Caenorhabditis elegans: one gene and its partner. The protein of the gene in region 2 purifies or fractionates together with the protein of the main gene of each other region. This does not show direct contact. Each region holds a gene or a part of one and is shown on either strand. Other genes may lie near its edges.

Evidence for each region.
Region 1: the proteins of unc-10 (region 2) and elks-1 purify together in Caenorhabditis elegans (affinity purification with western blotting, with the first as the bait; one study listed by BioGRID). This does not show direct contact.

What each region holds. Positions count from the first base shown.
Region 1 is NC_003282.8:3,346,869-3,351,965, forward strand, and holds the start of elks-1 (ELKS/RAB6-interacting/CAST family member 2), read right to left. Parts: upstream 3,160-5,097; 5' UTR 3,051-3,159; coding exon 3,041-3,050; intron 2,557-3,040; coding exon 2,436-2,556; intron 2,301-2,435; coding exon 2,055-2,300; intron 967-2,054; coding exon 777-966; intron 729-776; coding exon 620-728; intron 240-619; coding exon 1-239.
Region 2 is NC_003284.9:7,277,106-7,282,358, forward strand, and holds the start of unc-10 (Rab-3-interacting molecule unc-10), read right to left. Parts: upstream 3,218-5,253; 5' UTR 3,197-3,217; coding exon 3,128-3,196; intron 2,979-3,127; exon of another isoform or gene 2,840-2,978; intron 2,795-2,839; coding exon 2,745-2,794; intron 2,686-2,744; coding exon 2,552-2,685; intron 2,498-2,551; exon of another isoform or gene 2,413-2,497; intron 2,373-2,412; coding exon 2,302-2,372; intron 1,888-2,301; coding exon 1,700-1,887; intron 1,587-1,699; coding exon 1,250-1,586; intron 1,193-1,249; coding exon 1,048-1,192; intron 939-1,047; coding exon 850-938; intron 643-849; coding exon 587-642; intron 540-586; coding exon 358-539; intron 299-357; coding exon 199-298; intron 1-198. UniProt on the Caenorhabditis elegans protein: Regulates the efficiency of a post-docking step of the release pathway. Acts after vesicle docking likely via regulating priming. May regulate the conformational changes in syntaxin.

The DNA of each region.
Region 1 (5,097 bases), on a different chromosome or scaffold from region 2:
CCTCGCCTGCTTTTCATCGATCCTCCGAAGCGCGTTTTCGATAGCTTGCCGGCCTGATGGATCCTGACTTGCCATCATAGATTGCGTCTCCTTGGTTGTTAGAAGATCCTGAAGCCTCATAATAGTATCCTCTAGCTCTCGAATCCGTCCGTCCATGCCACCGGAGCCGGATTCTAAAGCTGTGGTGAGTTGGCGAATGCGTTCGTCGCGTTCTCGGAGTTCCATTCGGAGTTGTAGCGCTGAAAGAATGAAGACTGTGTAAGAGATTCCTAGGCCAGGTGGCCCTAACCATAAGGAAACCTACAAAAACATGGGTACCCTAGAGCCTTACAGATTTAATCGGTAAGGGGTAAAGCACAGCCAAGGCTTACTTGACGGTAGCCTAAAAAGTCCATGACCCTGGTAGCAGAGGATTTTATGTTTTTAGGATCTTAAGGGCGTTGTTCTGCTTCTAAGGTGTTGGTTTCATTCGAACCAAGATCTTGACCTTTTCAGAAACATTGAACTCCTGGGACCCTTTTGTTTTAACTTGTCATCCGCTTGGGGTTAACAAGCGTTTAAATTAACTTAATTTAATTGCAGGCTTTGAAGCTTATTTTAAAAAAAACACCTAAATTACCTTCGCTAGAACCTAGGCCGTAGTCATTACCGCCACCTCCTCCCGACTGAACCATCCTCTCCAGCTGCGCTATCCGAGTGGCTTCATCACGCCGCATTTGCCTCTCCCTCTGGAACAATTTCACATAGCTAATCATACACTACGGTAGCTCTATTACCTTTAACTCGGGACTCCAAAACGTTTTGATACTATTCATAGTCTGATTTAGCTTCTCCATCATTGTGTCGTATTCGACTTTCAGCTGCTCGTACTCTCTCGCGATGTTCAGGCCACTTCCAGTGCCGGTGGGGATTCGGGATATGCCTGGTTGCATTAGGTCGTAGTCTTGGACTGATGTGGTGGCCATGCTGAAATATTGGAAAATTGAGGAAAAAAGTCTTCCGCGTGTAATATTACACAAGTTTCTACCGATGCTCTGGCCCTGGGTGTTGCCCTTCAAACGCTATAACTTTTTAGCTATTAAACATTTAAAAAAACATAAAAATTTGTTGTAAACTGGAAACATGCTCAAAATTAAAAACTGCACAGTTTCCATGTTGACTACATTTTTGTATCTATTCTTACCTAGGAGATAAGAGGGATTGAAGACCATCGTATCATCCCAGGTAGGCAAGGCAAGTGAAAAGGCAGAGGCTGTTTCGGATCTAACTTTATTGCCTTTAACGATACGAGTTTTTGTCAACTAACAAAATGCTCAAAATTAAAAACAGCATAATTTGTTAGTGGAAAATTTTTTTGTACCTCTAACCTCCTCGACGATATAACAGTTCAAAGTAAAATTACATAATATTATTTGAATCTCCAGAGCTCCCCCACCCCACTTAAAATTCATCTGTTTTGAGCCCCCAATTTTTTTTCGGAAGAGAACGTCAGCAGCAGTCAATGTGTGCAAAAAAATATATATATATACATGCATATTATACTCCCATGAGAGATGAGGAGCAGCAAAAACCCGCAAATTCTTTAAAAATTGGAGGAAATTCAACTGAAAGAACAAAAACTAAAAAATGTTGGTTTTCGGAGGGTCCACCAGCACCACCCCCCCCCCCCCCGCAAATTAAATTAGGTTAGGGTGGGGTCTTGGAGCCGTAGATTTGTGTCGTTTGTGGTGTGTTAACTGGAGGGGGAGGAAGAAACGGTATAGGAAGAAAGGTAAAAGCCCTAATGGATGATTTAGAAGACGGCAGGGTCCTGTCCGACAAGCACTATAGAAACTGGGATCTAGTTTAGGCGGCAACCAAGTCAGGAAATTGACAACGCCACTGGCTTCTGATGGGCAACCAATACAAATTAGACAACACTAAAGGCTCTTAGGATCCTGGCATCCCTAATGACAAGCACACTGACTACTTTTTGTCTACCAGGCAGCCTTACCGACAACCCGGCGACTTTAGAAGCTGTCGACCTCCCCGAATACCCGGCACCCCTAACTAACCTATTATTATGCTGCCAGAACGCATTCTGCGTGGGAATCGGATTCGATAACGCCAGCGATTGCCCACGCTGGAACTGTGTTGGGTGGTGATGTGGTGGATGGTGATGTTGACTTGTGGATATCTCCAATGGAAGGTATGATGGCTGATGTAGAGGTTTCGGTGGAGACGGCTGGAGCATCATATCGTAGTCTAGGGAGTCTTTGTAGGCGTCCAGGACACCAAGGCCGTCCATCGAGCGGTGTTGCCTGGAATTGGATGGTTCTTAGGTAGGCCTCGAGAGTAGTTGGTCTTCGAGGGGCAGGCTGTAGGCCCGTTGGGAGACAGAAAATTTGTGCTTGGTCTTAAATTTTCCTCAGTTTATCCCTAAAAAAGCTACTCACCGTTGCAGTGGGCGCCTCGACGCGGCGGATATGGATGTATGGGGTGGGACTGATGGATAATTCATCGGGTTTCGGCCACTGGAATTCATCACCGATGTTCGGCTGCTGTATGGTGCGGGACCTGAAACGAAAAATTGGAAAATTCTTTTTGGAGCGCACTTGTTGTAGAATTTTTCAAAAAGGTTGTGCCAAATTTAACGAAACGCTTCAACTCTTTTTGCATTAGAGCGCCCTTACATTTTGCGATTGGCGGGAAATTTGAAATGTTCTTTCCAAATTTTTATCAACACACTTTTTTTTTCAAGAGATTGCACATTTTTAGCAAAAACCTCCTCGGTTAAACATTGGAGCACACTGAAATTTGGAATTTTAACAAGCTTTGCAAAAATTGGCATAACTCTGCGAGTTTTGGAGATATGAGAAAGTTATCAACTAACAAACTGTGTGAAATTTTGTGATCTACAATTAGTTAGTCATAAATTTTTTAATAGAGTTTTCAGTTTTTGAGATATTCATGCTTTTCTGGCGAAAAAAAAATCAAAAAAAATTTTTTTTGAGCGAAATTTGTTTAATTTGCAAAAATTTGCAATCTTCTAAAAACTCACCAGGTGCCATATTGTACTGCTCCGGGTAGTTTGATGGTCCGGGTACGTGTTCGTTGTAGGACCACTCGGCGTCCAAGCCGTTACCGTACCACCCGCCGCCGCCTCGATCCAGTTTTTGACTGAAATTTTGAAGTTTTTGAGAATTGAGGAGAAGAGAAAAAAGTTAGGAGAAAAATTATATTAAAACAATATGAGGAAATATTGGTTAAATTTGGAAATTTTGAAAAAAAAACAACTTTCAATTTTTATTTTTCGAAATTTATTCTCAAAATATACTCAAATTTCCCGCTAAACTTTTCACTCCTAATTTCAGAATACAAATTTTCCACTATCAATAACCCAAAAACCAAAAAAAATCGTTCAAAAAGTCCGGCCGGAAGCAGCAAATGTCTTGTGTAAGTCAATGTATGCGCGGGGTGCGCGGAGAGGAGAGAAAGAGCCAAAAAGCAAGAGAGCCGAGAGATAAAGAGACGAAGAAGAGACCTAGATGGTTTGACAAACAGGGAGAAGGAATGAGAGAGTAAGAGGAGTTAGAGAAAGGAAGGGGAGGCGGATTGCGCGCGGATAAGCATGAAGAAAACAGAGGAGAGGGGAGGGGGACTGTAGTGGCGGAGTCTTGGTTAAATTTTTGAATAATAATTTCCCCAATTAACAGAATATGTTTATTCTTAATTTGTACGGAAAAATCCAGAAAAGTTTCGGTACCGCCTCAGAAAACTGAGTATAACTTCAAAACTAAAACGGCTAACAAAAACATTTTAACTAACAAACTGTTAAGCACAAAATTTCGCACATTTTGTCTGTTGGAACCTTTTTGGTAGCTATTACCATTCTAGAGATATAGGGGTTCAAAGTTGAGGAGTGCAAAGTGTGTGGAGGAGGGGGAGACGCAGGTTGTCTCGTCGACTGCGTCTCACCCTCCACCACGCTCTCACCGCACTATGCTCTAAAATGCGTGTATCTCTGGAACGGTTAAAGATAGTAAAGTGAGAAATTTGGTTTTCTATTCGAAAAACATTTTTTTCGATTTTTTTAAATTATTATTCAGCAATCTTACATATGTTTTCTTAAATTTTCCATACTAGAAAACTTTAAAAAAAAGGCAAAACTCTTGACTCTGACGCCAAGACACAAAAATTGTAGGGAATTGAGAGAAAAGTGTCGGGGAAAAGGGATAGAAAAGACGAAAACAGTACGCTCAGTGCGTTTTTTTTGTGTTTCTTTCAATGTTCAATGATGACAAATGGAACGGAAAATTGCAAACGTTACGATTTATTGGAGGACAGGGGTTTTTTTGAAAAAAGAAAAAAAAGTATATTGGGATTTTTCAACATTCTGATCTTTTTTCTCTGTTACTCTATTTTCTAAGCTCTAACCGTTCCAGATACATATATACAGCAGAGAGACGCAGACAACGAGACTGTCTTCTCTGCCTCCTCACCCACTCTCCACACTGTAAACGCCTATTAATAAAACAAAAGCAAAAAAAAGAGAAAAAATAAAACGACTTGCGCAAAGGTCTCTCCCCCCTTCAATTTCGGTGGTCCATAGTACTACGTTTTTGGCAAAAAGATAGAGAAAAAGGGGTGGTGAGAGTCCGAAAAGAGCTTTTCTCTGCGTCTCCATTGTCTTTCTCAAACTCTCTTTTAGGGAGTGCGTCGAGTAGTTGAGCTTTTGGCATTGAACCAGAAGAGATTGGAGAGACGCAGGAAAAGTAGGAAAATCTGGGGATTGAAGAGATTTAATATTTATTGCAGAAACATTTAAGGTGAAAAGTGTATTTTTACGTTGTTTTGCTGATTAGAACTTTTTGAAAAAAAAAGTTCCATCAACAATAATCCTTTAAAAAATTTTCTAACCCAAAAATTATTCTTCTCAAAATTTTACACATTTATCTATCAGTTGACAACTTTTTAATAGCTATCACCGTTCTCGAGATACGGGGCTTGAGATGGGGACCTAGAGAGCGTGGAGGAAGGGGAGACGCAGAGTGTCTCGTCGTCTGCGTCTCCCACGCTCTCTCCCATCTACAATAGAACGCCGTGAGATATAGAAAT
Region 2 (5,253 bases):
TGGTTTCTGTTTTGCTGTTGGTTTGACTAAAAAAGTGATCAGCAGAACAAAAAGGAAGTCATGCTAAATAATGAGAAAATGGAGACGTAACTGGAAGAGGGAAAGCAATGAACTCAAAGCTTGAGCACTTAGTACAAAAAAGACATTACTCAATTGAGTTTGTCTATTTTTTCCATTAGCCAAATTACACTTGCTCACCTATGCAATCGATTTTTCACCCGGTTCAAATGGTCGTCAGTAGAAGGACATGCTCGCACGCCTTGCGTGTTGGACTGACTCTGTGAAGAGTTGTTCCGCTCTGAAATTGATTCTCAAAATAGAATTTAGCAAGGTATTATCGATATGATATCATCTTACGTTTCTTAGATTCGAAGTTTGACGAACTTGCATAATCCTCCTCTGTTACCCGGCTGACTGTGTTTTTTCTAAGATTTCGGTTGTTTTGGTTCTGATTCTGATTATTTTGTTGTGAGCCCTGTTGCATTTGGCCATCAAATTGTCTTTGGTCATTCTCGGAATTTCCAGTGTAGAACGTGGGTCTGAAAGCAAGTGGGTATCAAGTTTTTAAACTTTATGGGATACTTACCGCTGGTTCATGCCATCATCCTCAACGTGATTGTATTTGTTCATGGGCGTAGTTTGCTAAATTAGAAACAATTTCGTTTTTTTTTTCATTTTAATATATTTTTCTACTCTGAACTTTGTACGACAGTACTGTAATTCTGACCAAATTTTCCGCTCTAGATGATTCTTCACATTTGTTCATTACTTTTACAGAAGTATCACCCTAATAATAAGCTGCTCAATCTTTTTTCAAAAGCTCGTTTTTGATATCCCTGATCCCTTCACCTCTAATGACGGCTGCCTATTGAACATTCCTCCTTGCCCGTTAGTATTCTCTCTCATTCTGTTGTTATCCGTCCGTTGTTCATTCATTTCTGAAATTATCCAGACTATATCAATTTGCGTCTCGTTCGCAATTTTAGCGCACAACACTTTTTTGTTTTGTTTTTCACTTTCTCTTTTTATACCCCTGGAGGCTCTTACGTTGATGATGCTGCTCTTGTTGTCCATGTTGATTATGGTGTTGATGTGCCGCGCCTACGTTGTTTTGATACTGACTGGGCTGCTGTTGAGGCGTTTGTTTCATAGTTCGAGAGTCATTTGTCCTTTGTTGGTTTTGGGGGCCAGTCTGAATTATTTACATGTAGAATTTGAAATAATCGTGGAACTTTCCAACTTCAAGTACCTGGTTTCTCTGGTTTTGAGTCATATTCTGATTGTGGCTCTGTTGTTGATTTTGGTTTTGATTCATCTGATTTATCTGATTTGCCTGATTTTGACTCATTGGCTGTTGTTGCATAGCTCTTCGATTATTCTGTTGATGATTGTTGGCTCCTTGATGATTATTTTGAACATGATTTTGATTTTGATGCGGGTTCTGCATTTGATTCTGATTGTGGTTTTGATTTGGATGTTGATTTGAATTTTGGTTCTGATTCATGAAATTCTGCTGAGTTTGATTATGATTTGGCTGCATTCCCATTCCACGGGGTTGTTGGTTGTTTTGATAATTTGGAGTGTTCCTGAAAATATGAAAATTAGTCTGAATTGTGATTGATTGAAACTAACGCTTCAAAGGAACATGTAACAATCAAACACAAACTTGGAAAAGTAAAAGAAACCGGAAGAAACTCACATTTTATCAGGCGGCTCTGCTCGCCTCTGCTGCGGTTCTGGTACGTTGTCGTCAGTTAGTGGTTGGGGCGAAGGGCTTGGCTCGGAGCCGCTAATTTTCGGCTGCGGCTGCTCTTCGGGTTGGAACCATTTGCCTGTTTTGGCAAGAATTTGTTGACGTTTCTGGCACAACGAACAAGCCCAGATTGCCTGAAAGCTTTTTACTTCTTCTCTTCAATTCACTTCTCTACTTTTTTATCGGTCGGTGCACCCACGGGGCTAATACTTTCTATTTATCTCTTTATTCCAAACTACTTTGCAAACAATGGATGCTATTGTTTTTCAGCTTCTGTCGTATTTTTTTAGATGTAAAAACGATTATTTCGCTTGATTTCCAAATTAGATTCATTAACTATAAAATTAAACATGATTTTATAATAAATTGTAAAGTTTAGATTTTTTTTGTGAAAATATAAACATTGCAACATCATATCGCAAAAATGTTCAAGTCGATTTTGCTCAAATTGGTTTTTATTCTGTTATTCAAATGCAGTCATCCAGAATTTGTCCTTTCTCTTTCATGTTTCCCCTTATTTCATCCCACACTTTCACTCCCGCTCGTACCTTATTTTTGCTCTGTGCTCTACCTCCACATCTGGCGCAGCTACGCAATTGACAATAAAAGCACTTGTGGCCTGAAAAACCTCTCATCTTGTGCTAAATTGATGTCCTTTTAGAGAGACGATGACAGCCAAGGGTTAGGGGCTCTCTGACGCCGCGGAGAGAATTACTAGGAACAGAAAACGAGGCTCATCTCAGGGCGACAGAAGGACCCTTTGCTCTCATCGCTTCTTCAGGAAAAGGAACAACGTACCAATTCCGTCCGCAAATTTGGTCTTCTGACAGATTTGACAGATCGCGTCATCTTGTGTGCCAACCAGCTTTTTCGATGTTTCTTTCCGCTCCGTGATCTGTTTGTCTAACTCTGACAATTCTTCAGATGCTTTTCTGGAAAATCATTCGCATGAAGAAATACCAATGCAATTATGTGTCTACAAAACTCTTACTGTGATATTTGTGTTTCTTTTGCCTCCTCATCTTTTTGTCGTTTGAAGACCTGCAAAAAACATAAATCATGAGCGTTCTGAGTGAGTATTCTCTATATGTATGTGCACGCATGATATCATGCCAATTTTCTTGTCGAATGTACATAAGAGCACACACTCGTTTGATTGCATATCCATTATTTTGCGTGTGCTCACGGCGTTGTAAGTAATACCCCTCCCCTTTTCTCGCTCTTTCACCCCTCGGGGGGCCCGTCATGCTCCGAGACAGAGGACTCACACCGCACCAACTACTTTTTTGAACCCCACAAGAAGCAGACGGATGGGCAAAATGAACGATGGGGGGGGGGGGGGGGGGGGAGGGGGTTCGTGCTGGAACAACTCACATTTTCTATTATTTCACGTTCTTCTGCAGATAAATGGGATAAATCCGGCATCATCGACGGATCGTCCATGATTATATTTAATGAGGCACTGAAGTTTGATTTTTAAGGTAATAAGGAGTTATTGCATCATGTGAAATCATAGCGTATAAAAAGACTAAAGCGCGATAACAATCCGAATAGAAAGAATAGAAACGAATTTGTTCGGTTTAAGAGTTGTATGTCAATAAAGGCCAACAAGAAAACAGGATCAACGCTGAAACAAAAAAAGAACAGCGTCAAAGATGGGGAAACCGAGAGAGGAAAAATAAGAGCGTCCGGGATTAGAAACGTTGAAAAATGACGCCTTTTCCAAGACATGAGCGCCCAGTAAGACTGGATGTGGTCATTTTCGACGACGACGTCGATGAATACCGTGGGAAACTCGGGACATCCAAAAATAGTCTTCCTCTTCTTTTCTTTACTGCTATCAAGAACTTTTTGCAAAAAAGAGAAAGAGAGCACTAAAACGGGAAAGGAATAAGAAATAAGCGTAGGAGGTGGGGAAGTGGGAAGCGAAGGAAAACGGGAAAAGAAAAGGAATAGAAGGGTGATGGATATTGGGTTCGCCAGGTTTCGCCATAAAAAAAGGCCAACCATGGACAGGTAAAGGTTCAAGCTGATGTTTGAATTGACAAAAAATGGACAGCTTGTGCAAAGTGGACAAAAGCATGTAAGAATAAAAAGCAAAATTCGATGCAAGATTAATGATGCACAAAAGGAGACATTCATTTGAGACAATGAATTCATGCTCGTTTCCCTGAGCACGGAAAAAAGACAAGGTTTGAAGATAGGGGTGGGGGGAGCCTCCCGTATCCGTAAGGAAAGAGAAAGAGGGCGAAAGGAAAAACGGAGGTGAAACGGGAGGAAAAGAAAAAAGACAAGGCGCGCCCAGGAGGAAAACCCGGGCGAATGCGATATAAGCAATGAATAAAACAAGGCCACGGATAGCGAATAGTTCATGTTTTACTCAGAGCTCTTCTAATAAATAAATGGATGTGTGTAGATGGGAGGGAGGGGTTTAGGACTCGGGGGCTAGCGGCGTGTGGCGACTGATGCGCAAACGCAGGGTGGAGAAAACGACGAAGGGATGGAGCAACGCCCGCAAAACACAAAAATGCTCCAAAGGCTCTACCCTTCTTTTCTCCCCCAACCAGTCTTCTCTCCCTTTCCATCCCGAGATGGCTCTATGTGGCGTTTGTGCCAAACGTTGACAATTAGCAACTCAGCGGGCAGCTTATCCAATATGCTCAAGATTGCCAAGTTTTGTTCTTTCTTCGTTGGAGGGCCTCCACACATACACACACATACACACGCAGGCCTCAGCCTCAAATTGGATTATCTGTTCATGAATGCATAGCAAAGAGAAGTATAAAACGACAGAAAAAGAAGACGAAGGAGGTGAGGACAGGGGACAGACAAACAGGGAACAGGACGAGGGATCACCTTTCCAAAAAGTTCACGCCCCTTCAATGCCCTTTCAGATACGTTCAGAATTCCTACTAGGACTATGAAGTAACTAATTATTAAAACTCACAGCAAAAGCAAAACATTTTTGTTCAACAATCGAACAAACTTTTCAAAAAAAGAGAATATTAAACATTCGCAACACTTATATATCCATATCCATATATATATATATATATACTATTTTCCTATTCCATCGGCTGGATTTCTAAATGTGTTATATGAAAAGAGTTTTCACGATTTGAAGATTAGATTAACTATGAGAAGATATATAAAAGGCGGACAAAATCCGTTATGAATCAATTCATATAGCTGACAAGAAACAGAATTAACAAACTTCTAGATGGGTAAATGTGATGTTTCAAAGATAAAGATTACCTTTTGGAAGTGCATTAATACTTTTCAGATTTGTTATATATCAGAGACATTTGAGAGTTCTTGTTTATTAGCGGAACGCTATCGGAACGAATTTCAAAGTTATGAATGTGAAAACGTAGTACGGTTTTCTTGAGGACAAAACTGTTTCTGAACCTAAAAATAAGGCATTCAAATCACATTTCATCAAATTGGACAAAGTTTGAAAAATGAATGACAATTTAACATATTTTCAAATTGTTTTCAAA